Linked DNA regions of Caenorhabditis elegans. The protein of the gene in region 2 interacts with the protein of the main gene of each other region in a pairwise test. Each region holds a gene or a part of one and is shown on either strand. Other genes may lie near its edges. The genes, in order: piki-1, arrd-11 and mrpl-54.

The links.
Region 1: the proteins of arrd-11 (region 2) and piki-1 interact in a two-hybrid assay, tested with the Caenorhabditis elegans proteins (one large-scale study listed by BioGRID).
Region 3: the proteins of arrd-11 (region 2) and mrpl-54 interact in a two-hybrid assay, tested with the Caenorhabditis elegans proteins (one large-scale study listed by BioGRID).

What each region holds. Positions count from the first base shown.
Region 1 is NC_003284.9:15,243,371-15,248,063, reverse strand, and holds the start of piki-1 (Phosphatidylinositol 3-kinase piki-1), read left to right. Parts: upstream 1-1,664; 5' UTR 1,665-1,698; coding exon 1,699-1,742; intron 1,743-1,842; coding exon 1,843-1,992; intron 1,993-2,266; coding exon 2,267-2,472; intron 2,473-2,602; coding exon 2,603-2,770; intron 2,771-2,976; coding exon 2,977-3,191; intron 3,192-4,071; coding exon 4,072-4,180; intron 4,181-4,224; coding exon 4,225-4,453; intron 4,454-4,693. UniProt on the Caenorhabditis elegans protein: Phosphatidylinositol 3-kinase involved in clearance of apoptotic cell corpses by phagosomes.
Region 2 is NC_003280.10:13,761,615-13,766,168, forward strand, and holds arrd-11 (Arrestin C-terminal-like domain-containing protein), read left to right. Parts: upstream 1-1,803; 5' UTR 1,804-1,812; coding exon 1,813-1,997; intron 1,998-2,319; coding exon 2,320-2,425; intron 2,426-2,471; coding exon 2,472-2,634; intron 2,635-3,070; coding exon 3,071-3,742; intron 3,743-3,792; coding exon 3,793-3,938; 3' UTR 3,939-4,028; downstream 4,029-4,554.
Region 3 is NC_003279.8:9,158,488-9,161,443, reverse strand, and holds mrpl-54 (Large ribosomal subunit protein mL54), read left to right. Parts: upstream 1-1,921; coding exon 1,922-2,323; downstream 2,324-2,956. Other genes in the region: clsp-1 (Claspin), read left to right, coding at 1-500, 568-784, 984-1,358; F25H5.10 (uncharacterized protein), read right to left, coding at 2,458-2,643.

The DNA.
Region 1 (4,693 bases), on a different chromosome or scaffold from region 2:
CGATGTGGGACATGACTTCGAAAAACTGTCATAGTAGGTAGATCAGATAGAGGAATAGAGGTTTTTACAGTTTCTTAGTTTTCGAAAGCACCACATTTGGCAAGAAAGTACATAGATACAATTAGGGAAACATATTTTTACAATATCTGATAAATATTTGACAAATTATGAAAAAAAATTTGGATTTTTTTGAATAAAAAATCCAAAGGGTCCGCCCTTATGAAAAATTTCTAAAATTTTTTCGAAAATTTTTTTTTGAAAACTTTTCTTAATTTGTTCATATGTCATAGAAAAATGTAAATTTGATTGTTTTTTTTAGTTTCGATGTTCAGAGCACGATTTCAGACGAAAACCTGGGGTTCAGTAGAACCCCTAAGTTCAAAAAACGCATTTCCTTTGGATGTGTATATCTTTGTTGAAAAATTTTTTCTGACAAAGTGATTAACTACAAAGTTGTTCATCTTAATCTAAAGTACAACTTTGTAGTTGATGGTGTTTTTTCAAAAAATTTGATGGCCGAGATATGAACAGAAAAAGACGAAGAAAATACAGGCATGAAAGTGCCGCAATTAACACAACTTTATCTCGACCATCAAATTTTTTGAAGAAATATCATAAACTACAAAGTTGTACTTCAGATTAAAATAAAAAAAACGCAAAACCCGCAGACTTGCTCCAACAGCTCCAGTTCTCCAGCTCCAGTCCAACAGCTCCTGTAAACGGGCGATTTGTGGCAGATGGCCTCTTAGTGGCTCCAAATCGGAAGTTTTTAAATTGGGCGAAGAAGTACAATCATCAGCATCGAATGTTGCCTAAAGTAAAAACATACTCTGAAAATTGTCTCAAAGTTAAACAATGCAATTTTATTGACTTTTGAAATAGTTCTGAATCAAAATGCAAGAACTGATAAGAAAGTGTGCTAATCTTTAAGAAAAAGTCGTTGTCTTGTTTTTTCGTTTCTTAAGGGCATGCGCTGGTGATTGGAAATGCGCAATTAATAGTAGTAGTGACGGCTGGTAGGTGTACACTGCATATTCTTTTTCCCTGACAACCGGACTGATTCACAAAATTTAGTTGTCTTGAAAAAATTGCGAAAGTATTGACATGAAGTTTTTGGATACAAATATTCCCCAAAACAATCCAAAAACCAAGTGTTTACTTTCCCCTTCGGTATGTGTTTTTTCCCGAACCGTTTTGCCGGGAAGAAAAAAAACAAGAATGTTTGTGTGTGGATTTACGTTACGGTGTTTGCACACTGTTTGTCTGCGCAGACACACTATCGCCTCCTCCTCCTGCACCGTTTTTTTTGTGTTGCCCCGTTCGTCCTCGTCTTCTTTTTTGGTTAAACAGGTCACTTGTCTTTGTCTTTCTTCCTCTCTTTCTCTTGTTCTCCCTCTGCGTCCATATGGTGTTTTTTGTTCTCTAGTTAACCAATTGGATTGATTAATGCAAAGCTCAATATGCGTTTTTTTTGCTGAATAAGCTTATTTCGAAATTATTTTAAAATTTGAAAATATTAGGCTTGTTATTTGTGTAGTAGCTGTTTCAACCATCATATTTTTATTAACATTAATAGTGAACATGTGAATAATTTATTTATTATTTTTTTTAGCATTTTCAAATTCTAGTTATTCATAGATTTTTATTTTATCCAGTTAGAATAATTTTCAGCTCGCAAACTGGGCGTGAAGGAGGATTATGAGCGACGATGAAGAGCTCCAACTAGCCATCGAAATTTCAAAGTGAGTTGTGTAAAAAGACACCTGATGCCCATGGCCCGGGAGACCCTGAGCACTTTTTTCTCCTTTCTTCTTCTTTCTTCATGACGTCTCACAATTTCAGAAAAACGTTCAAAGACGAGCAGAAGCTGAGGTCGAACGACTTGGACTTGATCCGATTTGAGAGTCCTGATGAGCCAGCGCGCCAGCGGAAAATCAACCAGATAAAGCAGTTGTACGAGGCGAATAGTCCGGGACCTTCGTCCTATTCGGGGTGAGTCATTTGGTATTTCAATTTGAAAATAGAAAAATTATTGTGTCAATTGTGACTCATAAACCAAAAAAAATTGAATTCTAAATCTTGGAAAATATGTTTTATAAATCTATTTTTTGATGAAGAACAAGCACAACCGATTCTATACGGTACTGTTGAAATTAATTTTTAACAAATTACAGCTTGTCAAAAATCAAAAGCGATTAAATTGACACGGAATAAAAAGAGCTGACGATTTCCTAGCCGGCTCAAAATTAAATAGTTATCATTGCAGCTCACTTGCCACAAGCCCCATTGATTTCCGTCCAGTCTACAACGAGCCTCGTGCTGGACCGATTCCACACTCGCAATCATATCCGAGAAACTATTTCCAAGACTGGTCTGCAATAGCTTCCACGTCCCAGCCGCCGGCGTTTCCACCTCCACCGAGGCCTCCAAAACCAGAGCAGTATAAGTTTCCACCGGCTCCATCAGTTCCATGTAAGTTTTAATTTTTATATTAGAAGAGTATACATATAATTAGTACGTCCTAAAAGTATAATATCATATCAATAAATACATTTTCCAAAAGAACAAAAAAAATCCTGTTTAATTTTACAAGGCTATTTAGTGCTCCATGATCGCTACTTTGTCCCACCACCACCACCAGTGCCGCCAAGACATTCGAGAGTCCAACAGTCACCTCCAGTGCCGATACATCCCACACCTCCAGTCTCTTCCACACCGCTCAGACATTCAGCTCCATCGTTCGCGTCGGACAGTCAGCAGTTTCTGTCCCGTGAGTTTATTCAAACAATTTATTGTCTTTTTTTTGGTTGGTTTGAAAAATTGAAGGAGACACTTGACGAAAAAGGGTCAGATTGTTTTTCTTGTTTTCTTTTTTGGAATTATGCAAAAATGTAGAGAAATTCCTGCGGTGTCATGCACATTCTTGAAAATGAAAAACATATATATTTGCTAAATACATGTATTTCTGAATTTCAGCCATTAAGCCATTCGAAATAAGTTTCAACTCGACAGTCGACACATCGTCTAATCAAACTGGCAGTCATGATCATAGCATTCAGTATCAGCCGTTAACTCATCTCTACGTGCCATACGTAATGCATTCCCTCAACTCATCGTACGGAGCTCTTCTCAATGGTGACTTGATTGATTTGAGCGCTTTTGAGGATAGCTCAAATGCTTCACAAGACGAGGTAGGAAAATTAGGTTTAAAGCTAAAAATATTAGACTTTTGCAAAGAAGATAATTTTATTAGTATTCTAGTGTATGCTATCTACTGGGTGGTCCATATTTTTTGATTATAGACCACCCAGTATCAGACAGATACTTCATGCTTCTCAACTAATTTTGTATGTAAACGCCCAAACTTTTTTGTCAAAGTAAATTTGCCAAAAACACTCTATTAAAAACACTTTATTGTATTAGTTTATATTAGTATTTTACATAGCACATGCTATCTACTGGGTGGTCCATATTTTTTTAAATTATTGTTGTGTCGTGACAAACGAAGCTGCAGTCCAAAGTCATTGCCACCATTCCACCAAAAACTCAGATGGTGCTGGATAGGAACGTGAACCTTTACTAGTTATCGACGTGAGGAAAGGGTCACTGTGAACTCTTCTTGTATTTTGGATTATTCCACACTTCTCCGGTTTAACTAATAAACCTTCTTATTATTCTCTATCGTCGTCACGACACAACAATTATAGACCACCCAGTATCAGGCAGATAGTTTTTAACTAAATTCAGGTATGCTTCTCAACTAAATTCGTATATTAACGCCCCAAATTTTTTTGTCAAAATAAATTTGCCAAAAAACACTTTATCCACCGATTATCTTTTCTTTCTTTTCATACGGTCAGAAAAGTGACCCTATCTCGAGAGGGGGACGTTTATCATCAAACGAGAAACAAATTGAAATTGATTGGTTTTGTCCACTTTTTTCCTTCCCCCTTCACATTAGGTCCTCCTCGGCTGAACTAATTCGAATTGTTCTTCGCATTAGGATCGCATAGTTCAAGTACTGCAATTCAAGTATTCAATAAACGTTTGAAAACGTTGATTTTTTTTCAGATCCGAAAAGAATTCGACCCACTGTTCATATCCACTTATTCCACCGACACACCCTCTCCAGACAACTCTATGCCAGCTGTGAATGCGTACTTTTCAAAGCCTATTGATGGTTGGCAGAAATATGAAAGTTTGCCAATAGGTGCATAATTTCAGAACCAGAATGTGTCGGTGGCGCCAAGCTGATACAAGAGAACATTGAATTCCCGTCATCCTCGTTTTGCCTCATTGACTGTCCAAACGGAATTGAGGAACAAGTGAAGAAGTTATGCAAGAGGAACTTGATTAGAAAGGATATGACTCCAGATTTCTTTATTGCACCCACCGTCGACTATATGGTCACTACAGCAAGTACAGTGAAAGTTGTAGTCTACAAAGATCACAGGTAACTTGATGTTTTGGAAAATGTACTAGGTACTAGACAAATGCACTGGAAGGTACCGTGTTTTCACAATAAGTAGGTAGGACTTACTTTTAGGCAAGTTTCCGACTTAATACTATTTGAGACTTCAGTATACGATGGGTTATTTAGAGTTTGAAATTTTTTGGTTTTAATTATGAATGCGTTTATTTTGAGCTGAAAGTTTAGCAAATCGTGGATGACTATGAGAAAAATTTAGCGACG
Region 2 (4,554 bases):
ACTGCCGGAATTGACAATATCCGGCAAGCGGCAAATTGCCGGAATTGAAATTTCCGGCGAATCGGCAAATTGCCGGAATTGAAAATTTCTGGAAAATGGGTAAATTGCCGGAATTGAAAATTTCTGGAAAATGGGTAAATTGCCGGAATTGAAAATTTCTGGAAAATCAACAAATTGCCGGAATTGAAAATTTCTGGCATATCGACAATTTGCCGGAATTGAAAATTTCTGGAAAATCAACAAATTGCCGGAATTGAAAATTTCTGGAAAATTAACAAATTGCCGGAATTGAAAATTTCTGAAAAATCAACAAATTGCCGGAATTGAAAATTTTTGGAAAATTAACAAATTGCCGGAATTGAAAATTTCTGGAAAATCAACAAATTGCCGGAATTGAAAATTTCTGGAAAATTAACAAATTGCCGGAATTGAAAATTTCTGGAAAATCAACAAATTGCCGGAATTGACAAATTGCCGGAATTGATAATTTCTGGCAAATCGGAAAACTGCCGGAATTGACAATATCCGGCAAGCGGCAAATTGCCGGAATTGAAATTTCCGGCGAATCGGCAAATTGCCGGAATTGAAAATTTCTGGAAAATGGGTAAATTGCCGGAATTGAAAATTTCTGGAAAATGGGTAAATTGCCGGAATTGAAAATTTCTGGAAAATCAACAAATTGCCGGGATTGAAAATTTCTGGCATATCGACAATTTGCCGGAATTGAAAATTTCTGGAAAATCAACAAATTGCCGGAATTGAAAATTTCTGGAAAATTAACAAATTGCCGGAATTGAAAATTTCTGGAAAATCAACAAATTGCCGGAATTGATAATTTCTGGCAAATCGGAAAACTGCCGGAATTGACAATATCCGGCAAGCGGCAAATTGCCGGAATTGAAATTTCCGGCGAATCGGCAAATTGCCGGAATTGAAAATTTCTGGAAAATGGGTAAATTGCCGGAATTGAAAATTTCTGGAAAATGGGTAAATTGCCGGAATTGACAATATCCGGCAAGCGGCAAATTGCCGGAATTGAAAATTTCTGGCATATCGACAATTTGCCGGAATTGAAAATTTCTGGAAAATCGGCAAATTGCCGGAATTGAAAATTTCTGGAAAATCAACAAATTGCCGGAATTGAAAATTTCTGGCATATCGACAAATTGCCGGAATTGACAAATTGCCGGAATTGATAATTTCTGGCAAATCGGAAAACTGCCGGAATTGACAATATCCGGCAAGCGGCAAATTGCCGGAATTGAAATTTCCAGCAAATCGGCTAATTGCCGGAATTGAAAATTTCTGGAAAATTGATAAATTGCCAGAATTGAAATTTCTGGAAAATTGACAAATTTCCGGAATTGAAAATTCCCGGCAAATCGGCAAATTGCTCGACAAAAAAACCTTGCTGATTTTGACTGAACATTTATATTTTTTCTTTTGTGCGTTATTAGTCATTCGGATATAAACATCATTGCTAACAACAATTTTAAAATTCTCTGAGGAATCGGTCGCTATTTAAACAACCAAAATCTGTTTTTGTTCTTGTTCTCTGTGAGTAAATATTGTTATCAGGTTTGATTATTTAACACACACCTGTAAATGAAAATACCCAGTAAGATGTCAACATCTTAATTGATCACTTGTTCTCTCTTCCAACATTTATTTGTTCTATTTTTCTTATGAAATATGAAACATTAAAATTCGTTTAAATTTCCCAATATTCTCCATTTTCAGTGTTCTCTCCACCGATTTTCTTCCGGTTTTTTGAATTTTTTAACGATTTTTTTCCCAATTTCCAGGGTTATCATGCCAGAAACTGAGCTTCATGTGATATTCGACCAACCTAACGAAGTTTTCTTCCCGGGACAACCGATTTCCGGCCGAGTGGTGCTCTCAACGACGGAGGAAAAATACAAGGCTCGGGCGGTGAATATCAAAATTTTGGGATTGGCTCACACTAGTTGGACGGACTACGACAGTGTTCGCAGAGTGTAAAGAATTTCAATTTTCTGTTCAAAAAATATTATTTTTAAAGAAAATTAAAAAAAAAATTTTTTTCGAATAATTAAATATTTATTAAAACTGTAAAATTGTGCCTAAATTAAGTCAGAAAAAGGGGGGGGACCTAAAATTGTCGATGCAACAATCAATATTTTTTAAAGAATGATCTGTAAGGAGTTATAATGTTCCGTAAAAATATTAATTTGATGAAAATTTGAAAAAAAAGTAAAATTAAAAAAAAAAAAAAAAACATTCATAATAAATAATTCAAATAACAAATAATAAAATTTTTTGATAAGCATACATTTTCAGTGACAATGACGGCAATGTGAGGTACGATTCAGAATCGGTTCATTACTCATCGAATGTGCACTACCTGGATCAGGCTCTGCTTCTGTGGGCTTGCAAAGATGGATCGGTAGGAATCTGAAAACATTTAAATTTGAAATTGTATAAATTTTCAGAATGAATTGTCTGCTGGAGATTACGTGTGGCCATTCTCATATACTCTTCCTCTCAACGTTCCGCCAAGCTTTGAGGGAAAATATGGATATTTGAGATACTCGGTGACAGCTGAAGTGGATCGGCCATGGAGATTGGATAAGGCGAAGAGACGGTGCATCACTGGTGAGGCGAGGCGTGGGCGGTCTTCTAATTTTTAGTATTACCGTATTTCCTTTATTAGTAAGACGCCTCGATTAGTTTTGCCCCCTTCGTTCTACAAGTTCAAGTGTCAGGCTGTCCCATTTCAGTTTGATCTACCCCGCATTTTTTGAAGATCAAAAAATAATGGGAGAGCCTGACCCCTCGTGCAAATTAGGAAAACTCGTACACATTTGGTATAACAAGTCGAAATTGGTAAGAAATGAATATGTACAACTCGGACTATTTTGCCTATTACATAGTTATAAAATTATTCGTTCAATTTGGCTCAATGTGTGTTATTCAAATTGATGGTATTGTGCCATAACTTATGGAGAACTTGTTCAAAAACTAGTATCTAAATAGGTCGCCGAAAGTATGCATGCCGTACTAAAAGAGGAAATATTCTATATCCTTTCAGTTTCCCCACTGATCGATCTCAATGCCATTCCCCTCGCACTCACTCCAATCGACGACGAAGAAAGTGAGAACCTGGGCTGCTGCTTCTTCAGAAAAGGTTACCTCGAACTGCGAGTAAACATCCCAAAAACTGGATTCGTACCCGGCGAGACTGTTCCAATGAACATCCATATTCTAAATCACTCCTCCGTGCCCGTCACCGAGGTCAAGGCGAAAATCATTCAGCAGTGCAAATTCATCGCTTATCGAAACGGGACTATTTTCCGATTTGATGGAGGTTCGGATACGCTAATGTCAGGATCTTCGCAGCAAACAAAGTACGACACTAAGCCCGTTATCACGCAGACACAGCCGATGACAGTGACTCCAGGGAATGAGCACAAGTTTGTGCTGGAATTCCGTCTGCCATCTGTAACTCCAACCATCTGTCGGTTCTCCCCGGTGATTACTGTAGAATACGTGGTACAAGTCCGCGTGGAGACCACTTCAACATGCGGGAGTGCTGCTAAGTGTGAAATGCCGATCCTTATAGGAACTGTACCTATTCGAAATTATCTTCCACCACCAATTCCAAACAACTACCCAATTGGCCTGCCACCACCGTATGCTAATCTTACTGATGTGAATGTGCCCTGTCCGAGCGGAGGTAGTGGTACGGCAGTGATTCCAAGTGGTGAGTTATTCAGAATTCCAGAATTATTTTCTAAGATTGAAAGTTTTCAGCTCCACCACCATCCTACCAGGAATCCATGTATGGAGTGGGAGGAACCGAGCTCAGAGCCGAGGAGAACGAAAAACCATTTGCTCCAAAATACCCAGTATTCAATAATTTGCCAATATATAACCCAACGGCGCCACCGTCAGAGTAGCAATTCTTAATCCAACTATGTTTGTTTTGTTATTGGTTAGGGTGCTATGCATAAACTTTCTTGACAGGTTGTTTTTTACTTCAGAAGATTCAAAAAGTCGTAAAATTTGATATGCCAAAATAAAAAATTTGCATTTAATATACACATCAGGCGTGAGCGGGAATTGCTGTTCGGCCAATTTTTTTGTCGACAAATTCAGCAAATCAGTAAATTGCCGGTTTCGCGATTTGCCGGAAATTCTGATCTTCGCCGAATTGCCGATTTGCCGGAAATTTTTAATTCCGACAATTTGCCGATTTACCGGAAATTTTAATTCAGGCATTTTGCCGATTTGCCGGAAATTTTTAATTCCGGAAATTTGCCAATTTGCCGGAAATTTAAAGCTCTGCCAATTTGCCGATTTGCCGGAAATTTCAATTCCGACAATTTGCTGATTGCCGGAAATTTTCATTTTCGGCAATATATATATAAATATATATATTCCACAACTTGCCAGTCTATAACCCAACTGCGCCAGTGCCGGAGTAACCATTTTTTGAGCACATGTTCTGTACAACCTATGGATGATAATTTACTATAATTTACTATAATTTAAATATTTTAAAACTAATAAATT
Region 3 (2,956 bases), on a different chromosome or scaffold from region 2:
TCCGAAACTATCAAAGAAATTTGCGAAAAATCTGGTGAATTCACTGAAAAGATAGAAACAGTTTTAGAAGAAAAAACCGAGCTGAAAAGAGTTGTTCTGAGTGATGGTGAAGATAGTGATGAAGAAGCTGAAGAAGCTGAAGAAGAAGGTGATGATGAAGAAGAACCAGAGGAAGATGACATCGAGAGTGAGAATGATGAAGCTGAAACCGAAGGAGTAGAAGCTCCGGATCCAAATTTCGACGATGAAGACGATGAATTAGCTATCTTGAAACGTTTGCAACACCAAGAATACAAACAAAAAATCAAAAAGAGAACACTTTTTGATGATGAAGCTTCACTTTCCGGTGATGATGTTGGAAGTGATCTAGAAGATGAAGAAGGCATGGAAAACGTTTATGAAGCAGAAGAAGGAGATGCAGATGATGTTCCCGATAATGATACTATTCGGAGGCAGAATCATAAGTTGTTGCTGAAACAGGAAAACGATAAGGAACAAAGGTAATATATTTTCTCTATTTTTTTTACTTTGGCATGTAGAATCAAAAATTAATTTATAATTTTCCAGAGAGCTTGCAAAACTTCAAGACCGTCTACTTGCCGACGGAGATCTCGGTGGAGTTGAGACGAATCGTCAATTCCGTTTCAAGTTACGAGAAGAAGTTCAAATTCAAATGGGAGATGATGTAGATGGAAATGATGGTGATGGAGAAGATGATGAACCAGAAGAAGATGAACAAAAAAAGAAGGAACGAGCCGAAATGATCAAGTTCAAATATGAACATGTGAGTTGATAATAATTTCCCACAAAAAATGTTTTGAGCACAAAACATTGTTCGAAAAAAGGTAATTAAAAATTATTACTCCTTTTGATTTTGTTATATTCTAAATGAAATCCAAAAATATTAAAATTCTTTCAAATGTTATGCATAGTTTTTAAAAAAGTTATATGTTTCTTGAAGTTATTTTACATAATATTTTCAGGCGGAAGAATTGATGTTGCTCGATGAGCCGAAACAAGGCGATGATATGTTTGCTCGCGCCGGAAAGTTATTCAAGAAAACTGAAAAAACTGTAATCGAATTCTCCGAAGAAACAATGTTCAAACCGAGACTCAGCAAGCCATCTCTACTGTCAAAAACCACTCTTGCTGTCACATTTCAAGAAGTTCTGAATGGACCTGGAGGTGCAGCAAAACAGATGTATGTGCAAAGCTTTGAGAAGCCAACTCCTCTCTCAACTGGACATATAAGTTCACCGTCGTCTCGATTGAGCACAGGAAAACGATTGCTGAAATCGCCAGAATCGTCAGCATCTGCAAAACGTGTCAGATCTAGTAAACTTAGCTCTTTGGAATAATTTTTCTATTGCTTTTTTTTTGTGAATTACAGTTATTACCCCTCAAAACCTCTGACATATCTGTATTTTGTTCTCACTTATCTGTGGATTTTATTTCTCTATTTTATGACTGGTTGTGTTATTTTTAAACAAAAAGATCTTGTATTTTATAAGATTTTAAAATTGTTTTTAAAAGAAGTTTGAATACTTTTTCGTATCTAATGTGCATGTATTATGTCGATCAAGTGTGCCGGAGAAAAATTTCAATATATTTCTCGATGGAGCTAGCAAATTTTTATAATAACTTCAAAAAATTCTAGAATGTCACATTCTAAAATTGCAGTTTTTCTATTTATAGTAAAAACAATTATTCGAAAAGCAAATAAAGTAAATCTTTTAAAAAATTAATTAAAGTAAAATGGAGGCAGTTCATGGTTGAGCTTTTTTCCGCTTTTTTAAAGAAAAGTTCGACCCGAAAAATGAAATTATCACATTTAAAGATATTTTGCTTGTACATAGTTGAACGCAATATTATCTTGCTTTGAGTATGTGCGATTTCAAGAGTTCTAGTTTCAAAATTTCAGATGCTCCGTTCGACTCTTTCAACAGTCAGTCGAACTACATCACTGATACCTCGACGCTTATATGCTCCACCAAAAGCTGCAGCAGCTGCTGCAGGTGTAAAAGTCGACAAATCTTTCGTCGAAGAAGATGCTGTCAAATTGGCAACCCACGTATGCATCAATGCATACACACAAGGAGATGAGCCGGGACCGAAAATTCTTCCAGACTCGGAGTATCCTGAATGGCTGTTCAAATTGGATCTTCGAGCACCAAGAGATTTAGAAGATTTGGATGCCGAAAAGGATGGATGGTTGTACTGGAGAGCTCTAAGAAAAAGACAAGTCGAGCAAAATCAACGAATTCAGAAGTTGAAGACTAAGTTCCTACACTTGCAGAATAGTCCCAGTATGAAGAAGAATTAAGTTCCGGAGTATTTTCAATTGTTGACTTTATTTGTTTTTAAATTTTTAGCATCAATCTATTATCTAGTTTATAGAAATGAATTTATTTTTACTTTTACTTAAAAAATCGAACTTATATATGTAATGCCAAAATTTCACTTTCTTTTCTTCGCCAATTTTTTCTTCTGCTCCTCTTCATGGTTCTTCTGCGCACGATCCGCGAGCACACTGTCAAAAAACTTTTTTCGATCGGAAATTTCGGCCTCTCCCCAATTAGTAAAGTTTCCGTCTTCGAATTGTGTTGCATATGGATCGTTATGGTTGCTGGTTGAAGGCTGCATCTGAAAATTATGAAACTAGTGAAATTGAGAAAGTCCAAGAAAAGAAAAAGTTGCACATTTAGAAAAAACTTTTTTCTGCAAATATCCGTGTTTTCTCAACAAAAAATCTCAGAAGGAAATTTCGATTGACTTTTTTGTTACAGAATTCTTACAGTAACTTAAAGGTGCACACACAAAATGTTTTTAGAACGCGTGACGAGACCCTTGCTCTAAAATCTGTCACCCATGAAAGTCGTTGAAATTTGGAAATAAAACAAGTGATTATGTTTTTAAAAACAAAACTTAGATAACTAAAACCTTTACATTTTTTTAA